Rhinolophus ferrumequinum: one gene and its partner. The protein of the gene in region 1 purifies or fractionates together with the protein of each later gene. This does not show direct contact. Links are inferred from orthologs where the notes say so. Each region holds a gene or a part of one and is shown on either strand. Other genes may lie near its edges. The genes, in order: ASB2 and RNF7.

Evidence for each region.
Region 2: the proteins of ASB2 (region 1) and RNF7 purify together in Homo sapiens (affinity purification with western blotting; 3 studies listed by BioGRID and IntAct, with this or other methods). This does not show direct contact. The link is inferred for Rhinolophus ferrumequinum from reciprocal best matches to the Homo sapiens genes ASB2 and RNF7.

The regions. Positions count from the first base shown.
Region 1 is NC_046289.1:9,095,577-9,099,488, reverse strand, and holds the start of ASB2 (ankyrin repeat and SOCS box protein 2), read right to left. Parts: upstream 2,830-3,912; 5' UTR 2,501-2,829; intron 1-2,500. UniProt on the Homo sapiens protein: Substrate-recognition component of a SCF-like ECS (Elongin-Cullin-SOCS-box protein) E3 ubiquitin-protein ligase complex which mediates the ubiquitination and subsequent proteasomal degradation of target proteins.
Region 2 is NC_046300.1:40,079,606-40,083,517, forward strand, and holds the start of RNF7 (RING-box protein 2), read left to right. Parts: upstream 1-1,644; 5' UTR 1,645-1,759; coding exon 1,760-1,934; intron 1,935-3,912. UniProt on the Homo sapiens protein: Catalytic component of multiple cullin-5-RING E3 ubiquitin-protein ligase complexes (ECS complexes), which mediate the ubiquitination and subsequent proteasomal degradation of target proteins.

The DNA of each region.
Region 1 (3,912 bases):
GCTTGCCAAGGTCTGAGCTTCCAACAGCACTGCCTCTGGGTCTCTAGAGCCCAAGTGCAGCCTTGCCCAGCCCTGTTCTGGGCACCAGGACAACATGGCCCCTCACCTTGGCTCCTGGGTGGCAAAGGGTTCTAGAAGCTCTAGCTCCAGGCTGCAGAGTGGGAAGGGTCCAAAGGGGCAGGGCTGCCCTCCCAAGCCCCTTTCTCACTCGGGCCCAACGGCAGGGCTGGCTGCAAATCTTTGCACAGAGATCACAGCAAAATCAGCTAGGATCTTTCTTCTTTCTGTCCTCCACCCCCCTTTTCCTACCTTTACTTAAATCTTTTTCTTCTCCTCTCTCTGCTTTCCTTATCTTTCCTCTCTTTTCCACTCCTCTCTTTTGTGTCTTTTTCTTTAGAAAATTCAGGCAGTTTAGGAATCACTTTACTTTTATACCATCACTACCTCTCTCAAAGAGTTTCCTCAATCGCAAAACTCCTACCGACTTCATTTATATTGCTGGGCATTAATTAATCCAAAAGAAGGTGCTAAGGATGAGAAGTAAAGATACAAATCAGTCCTGTGACAGCCACCTCCTCCAGGCAGCCTGCCTCTCTGCAGCTCAGAAATGGAAGGGCATTGGGCGGGCCCAGGGATATTTTTGTGTCTCCTTCGGGAAGATTCTCTTGGATCCAGCCTGTCCACCATATACAGGCATCTTATGATGCCCTGGCTGTGCCAGGGACAGGTCTGTTTATTGCTGTGTTGGTGCCCTGGGAGGCCGCCGGAGACCGTGACTTTGAATGTGGCACCAGCGGCCAATAGGCCAAATGGCCAGGATTTGATTGCCGGCTTCAACACCCCCTAGCTGTCTGGCTTTAGGAAAGACCCTTAACCTCTCGGAAGCTCAGTTTCCCCATCTGGAAAGTGGGAGAAACGATCACCTCTAACTCTGACGTCCTCGAGAGAGTCAGTGAGAGAAATCACCACAAGCGCTGTGCTCAGTGCCTGGCTCATAGTAAGTGCTCAGTGAACGCTTATGGGTGCTGATTGTGTTATCAATTGTCAGGTCACCGGCAGTGGACAATATGGGGCCCCTACCCCAGGGAGGAGGAAGAGGCTGCCCGCTCCCCCACGAGGCACTCACGGCCTGGCCACTTTGGGTAAGAATGGATGATGTAAAGGAGAATGATGCCAGCTGGAGCTGTTGCCAGCTCCTTGAGGAGGCCGTGCTGTAAACAGGACTGCTACCAGCTGTCGGGACCCATCCAAGTGTTTTGGAAGTGACTGGAGCATCTGCCACTGGCTGCCTCCCTGTGTTCTGCCCCCGGCCTCTGATGGCAGAGGTGAGGGCTGTGGCTGGTGTGCTGGTCCCAGGTGGCTCTGCCTGGGCCCCTGTGAAGTCCCTCAAGCCCCTGCCTCATGCACGAGCTTTCCCTTCAGGGAGGCCACTCTCTGGTGTGTGTGTGTGTGTGTGTGTGTGTGTGTGTTGAGGAGGCGGGGTGGGTGGTTGGCCCCTACTCAGCCTCAGGTCTCCATCGTTTACCTGTCTTCCTAAGAGGCTCCGCCTCCCTGCGTCCTCCTTCTAGTCCATTCCCCCCTGGCTTCCTGAGGAGCTACCTGAAGTCAGATCCCGCCTTCACCCCCAACCCCAACCCCATGTCCCGCTCAAAAACAATTAGAATATGTCCCATCCTCTTGCCTGGCCTGGGGAGAGCTGCATTTGCCTCTGGCTCCCCCTGCCAGCTTCACCCCCATTTCTCACCTTCATGGCCCTTTGCCTCAGCCACACTGCGCTTCCCACCAATACCCAGACGCACCTTGACCTATCTGCCTTTGCCGACCTGAAGGTCCCTCTCCCGACCACTCTGCCTGATGACACCCCATCTGTCCTTTCAAAGGCCATCTCTTCCTTGAATTTGTCCTCATGCTTACACACACACACACACACACACACACACACGGTATTCTTGCATCTCTGCATTCCCACGTAACATTTTGCATTCTTTACACTGAGCCATAGTTTTTGTTTCCAGATTCTATTTCCTCTCCTAAATCCCAAGCCATTGCAGGTACAGCCCATGGCAAATTGCTTGCTGTTGCACCCACAATACTGGGCACATGCAGACACTCCATAAATGTCACATGAAATGGACACCCCCATGCATGAAAATATCTATTCAACCAACCTACAAGCATTTCTGAAAGCCATTTGTCTGACACATACTGCCCAAGGCCTATGAACCAACAATAGCATCTTTGATAACTGCTTTTGCATTTCCATTTTTAGAAGTGCACAGCAGAGTGATATTCTGAGCAAGAGTCCTCCAGAAGAATGGGTAGTACACGCAAACGGCTGCTTCTATGTCCCCCAAATCCAAAACGAAAGTCACCACCATGCTTTATAATTCAGAAGCATAGGAGAGAGAGGGAGAAAGTAGTCGGACTGCAAGTGGGAAGCACTAGCCAGCCAAATACTCTCTCTTGAGATCTGTATAAGAAAGTCGAAAGCATGCATTACCTGTTAGGCTCTGAAACAAGGGGACCGTTCAGGGATAATAAAAAGGATTTGCTTGAGGGTGTCTTAGTTCAGCACATGCCCCCAGAGTGTTTCTTCTCCCCTGGCCCTGAGCTTCTGGCGGCTCTGCCTGGCAGCTCTGAAACACTCTCCTTTGAAGCAGGGAGTTTATTTCGGGCCCACCGCATGACCAATGATGGCAAGCCAAACTATAAGATGTTATGAATCTCAGATTTCCTGTTTGAAGATTGCATGGAGGAAGCCGTGGTCCTGCCTTCAGCTCCTGCAGCCTGCATCAGTTACGGACTTCACTTCAGAGAGCATCTCGGAGCAGTGGCCCTCCTGGGACGTCATCACTTGTAATCCTTGACATGGAGGCCATATATGGGTATGTTTCTGGAACTTCTCCGGGAGGGAGTGAGAAGGGAGAGAGATGCAGCGGGTAAGAGACAGAGACAGGAGAAGAGAACAGAGAGACAGAGCTGGGAGAAAAGGAGACGAGAACAAGGGCAAAAGACAGTGTGGGAGAGACGAGAAGAGGAAAGAGAATGAAGGAAAAAAGAGGAACAATGGAAAGAGATGTTGGAGAGAAAGAAGGAAGAGGATGGAAAGAAGAGAGTGAGACGATAAGAATAAATGTACAGAAGAAAGGAAGAAAAGAAAATTGGGAAAAACGGGGAAGACAAAAGGAGAAAGAAATTGTGATTGTCTAAGAGATGAAAAGGGAGAGAGAAACTGGAGTATAAGAGGAATAGGAGAGAAAGACAGTATGGACTGGAAGAAAGGAGAGCGAAAGAGAGAGACAGAGAGAGAGAGGGAGAAAAGAGAAGCAAATGGGAGAGGAGAGAGGGAGGGAAGAGGGTTAAAAAGGATGGAGACAGGAAGGGTGGGAAAGAGAGAGAAAGAAGGGAGATTGAGAGCTATCTGTATTGAAGGGGGAAGGCAGGAAGGAAGGCAGGAAGGAAGGTGGGCTGAATGAGAGAGAAGGAAAGAGACAGGAAGAGAGGGATGAAAGTATTCAGCGTAAATGACCTTTGCAGAGACTGCCATTTGGAAGTACCAGGGATCCAGCTGCTGGATGCTGTGGAATAAGTCTGGAGCTACAGAGAAGAGGGACACACACACGCACACGCATGGGGGCAAGCCCTGGACAGAGGCACACAGTGGAATGGAACCCTTCCTCCAGGGCAAGGGAAGAATATCCCCTGTTTCTGCCATTGATTGAATGGCGCAGAATGTCAGCATCAGGTGACAAAGGCAACACGTACAGTCACTTGCGTTGAGCACCCAGGAGCGTGCACTGAGTGTTCCAGGAGCTTAAACACCCATAGGTGCATCCAGATCTCAGGCCAGAGTCTGCGGCCTGGAAATGTACCCTTGGTCCATTCCTCTCAGTGGAAAATAATTTCAGTTTC
Region 2 (3,912 bases), on another chromosome or scaffold:
TATGAACAGAACATGTATCGTATATAGTTCATCTGGGTTTGTTTATAGGCATTTTTGTTTGGCTCATAAAGTTAGTGTGTTCAGACTTATATCTGCCGCCACTACCACTGCTCTGCTCCAGCTCATAGATGTTTGCTTTCTTCCTTCATTTTCTGGCCTCCAGGGTCTCCCAATTCCCCCCATTTCAAACTTCACCTCTTTCATGAGGCTTTTCCTCACTGCATCAGTCCTCAGGAATGTCTTTCTCCCTCCCAGCACTTAACACACCACTCAACAAACAGCACACATTAGCATCTAGTCAAATATGACCTTGTGTCCATATTTATATTTGATGTAGTTATGCATCCTTGTCTTTTCTGCCAGGCTCCTTGAGCTTGGTTAGCCCCCACCCAGGTACAAAGCCTGGGGGCACCAGGAGATGAGGGGATGATGGGTGGACCAGTAAAAGCTGAGGCTCAGAATCCCAAACCTGACACAGCAGGTGTCCACCACTAGATGGTGATGGCAATCAGGCATCTCCTTAGGCTCTCTGTGCCTCAGCTTTCTTATCTTTTAAATGGAGGTGTCTGCTTTGCTTGGGAAGACATAATTCTATGACTCTGGGCTAGCAATAGAAGAACCCTGGCTTCAAAACTGTCACCATCACGTAGCAGCTATGTGCTCTTTAAGTTACTTCCCTGGACCTCATTCCTCCCACATATAAAAGGTTAAACCAGAGGTTCTCACAGAGTGGTCCCCAGGATTTCTGGGCTCCTTTCAGAGGTCAAAACTATTCCCATAACAATATTCAGAGCTATTTCTCTTTTCACTCTATGAATGTACAGAGTTTTCCAGAAGCTACATTATTATATGTGATGCCATCGCTCCAATAATAACTCGTAATGGGTTTATTACTGTTATTTTAAAATGGATTAATATATTTAAATTTTTTCATCTTTTAATTTCTTAAAAAACAAATATATACAGAGGGTGCCAAAAAGATGTATACACATTTTAAGGAAAATGTATCAAAATTGTGCTGATGGTAACCACTTTGAGCACCTCTTGTAATTGCAGGTGTCAAACCTAAGACTTGTGTTCATCTTTTGTTAGGTATATATGGAGTATTACAATTTTAATAGTTTTTTCCCTTTCTTAAAATGTGTATACATGTTTTTTTGGCACCTTCTGTATTGTCCACACAACAAGAGCTCTTTAATTTTTAAGTATAAAGGCGTCCTGAGACCAAAACGATTGAGGAACCATTGAACCAGATTTCTAGAAGATCATTAAGGTCATTCACTCAACAAATAACTGGGCCTCCTGTGGCCAGGCATTTCTTTTTTTCTGATAAGGAGGCCAAGGTGACGATAAAGACATGGGCCCTGCTCTGCTGGAGTTTACATTTGGGAGGGACGACAAACGGCTATGTTAAGGAGATAATTTCTGAGAGTAGTAAGTTTCATAACGGCCTAAGGCAGCTCTCACGACAGTAACACCCGACAGCGCGAGGGCCGCCCTCCTGCCGGTGGTGGCCCCTGGGCCCTCAGCCCTCTACGTTGTCCCAGCATGGGGCGGGGGTGGGGACTGCGTCCGAGAGCTGGCGTGTGGTGACGTCACTGCCCCGCGCCAGCCAATCGCGGGCGACCTCTGTCGTAAGCACCGCGGTGGCGGGCGGCCTGCGGGCGGCGCTGTGGCCCGTCGGGCGGCCCGGCAGAGCCGCCATAGCCGCGTGCCTTCCCCTAGCCAACGTCTCCGCCGCCGGCTCCGCGCCGTAGTCATGGCCGACGTGGAAGACGGCGAGGAGCCCTGCGCCCTGTCCTCTCACTCCGGGAGCGCAGGCTCCAAGTCGGGAGGCGACAAAATGTTCTCTCTCAAGAAGTGGAACGCGGTGGCCATGTGGAGCTGGGACGTGGAGTGCGATACGTGCGCCATCTGCAGGGTCCAGGTGATGGGTAAGCGCTGCACGCTAGGCCCGGGCTGCGCTCCGGCCTGCGCGGGTCCGGGTCCGGGACGGGGGACGAGCGAAGGCTCGGAGAGACCCTTACCTGGAGGAGTGGGGGCGGGGATCGCTCTGTCCCGGCCGGTGCTGGGGCGGCCGCCAGGGGCGGTGGGGTCGCTCAACAGACGCACAGTGCCTGGGGCTGGATTTTCGGGGGAGAAACTGGCAGTAAACAGAGGAATTAAACAAGATAATTTCAGGTAGCGATGGGTGTGGCCAAGAAAATACTACTAGGTGGTTTTCTGGGAGCTGGGAGGAACCGCTTTGGTACGTGTAGCCAGTCCCAGCCCTGCGCTAAAAGCAAACCACAAAGAGGTCAGGGTAAAGGTCCTGATTTCGCAGAGCAACTTGAATGGTTCTGGTCACACACCAAAGTGGTGCTCTGGTCATCTTCCACAAAAGCGACACCCTCGGTGCTGCTGTTGAGAGATGCAGGGAAGAAAAGTGTTCCCAGCCATTGCATTCATTTCTGGATTAGCTACGGTTGTGCTGCTGCTGGCCATTAAATCTGTGCGATTCAAGACGGGTCAGACGGCACTCGCCTGGCTTGAAGGAGATTACATGTGGTTCAAAAATATTTAAGTGTCGTGGGAATTGAATAATGTGAGCCGTTTACTCAGAAACAGAATTTCATCCCCTTCCTGGCCCCTCACTCTCATAGCTTGCCATTTCCTGGAGAAGACAACTGCCCTGCGCTGAGTCAGGTCTTTGTGGAGAACCCGCTTTTACAAATATCTTACTTCTTTTTATATTTTGAATAAAAATGTCGGACCAAGTGAAACCTTTGAGAGCAGCTTCATCCCGTTTTTGTCTTATATGGTTTGTTTTAGAGTCTCAGGCCACCTTGAAAAGGAGGCGCTGTTTAAATGCAAGTTGTATATTTAAGTATGGCATTTAAAACTACTGTGAGAGCATCCAAAATGTTGTTTCTTAGGGGTAGATGAAGAAAATTGAGGTTTCTATAGTCTTGAGGTTTCTACTGTCTTGCACTGAAAATGCGAGAATTGGAGAAAATAAATAAAATCGTTGTTCCTTCTTGAGGGATAAAACTTTTAAATTTACCAGAATCAAGAGATTTCTCAATTTATAGTCTCTTTAGTGTGCTGTCTTGTTTTTTATTCATAAGGACCTGTTTCAAAGAGGATTTACAGCAAAATGGAGTTCAGATGTTTTTTGTTTTGTTTTAAAGAGCTTAACTTCAGACATGACTCACTTATTTTGTACATTAGGTTTTTAAAACACCTCGTTTATTGGCCTGCAGTGCAGCCTTCTTATCCCATACCCCACCCATTACTTAGGAATTACAATCATAATTTCCAGTTTGGGTGGCATTTTTAACTTATACAGGTGACTTAATTTTTTTGCTTTTTTGCAAGACTGGCTTTGCTAAAAATTTTGTCCCCTAAATTTCCTTTAGTCTAAAAATGAAGAATGTTTCTAAAAGCGCATTTTCTTCCCCCCCCAAAGAAAACTTTAAAACTAGTAAGTAGAAATGCAGAATTTAATGGTTGAAATCTTGCAGCAAATAAACTTTAACTGGGATATTTAAAGTAAGTCAAAGTATGGGCTATAAATGGCTCCATTCACAGTAACTTTCTAATTATAGCAAGTATTCTGCTACTGTGGATTAATGTTGCAGGTTTACAACAGCTATACTTTGAGTTCAGGGAAGTACTATAGACTAGACCTTTGTATTTTGTTTATGAGGTGTTAAAATCCACTTAGTGGTCAGGTAAACAGCAGAAGGAAATTTTTCAGACTTCCCAATCCTTATCCTACCATTACTCTAAAAGATGTTACTATTACTGCACTCCTTAAAAAAATACTGTTTTAGATACTTTTTTCTTTTATCTGAAACTTTGGGAATTTTTGTCAGTTTAGGTCAGTTTTTTATCATGAGTCTAAATCAAAGCTATAAGCATAAATCAGAG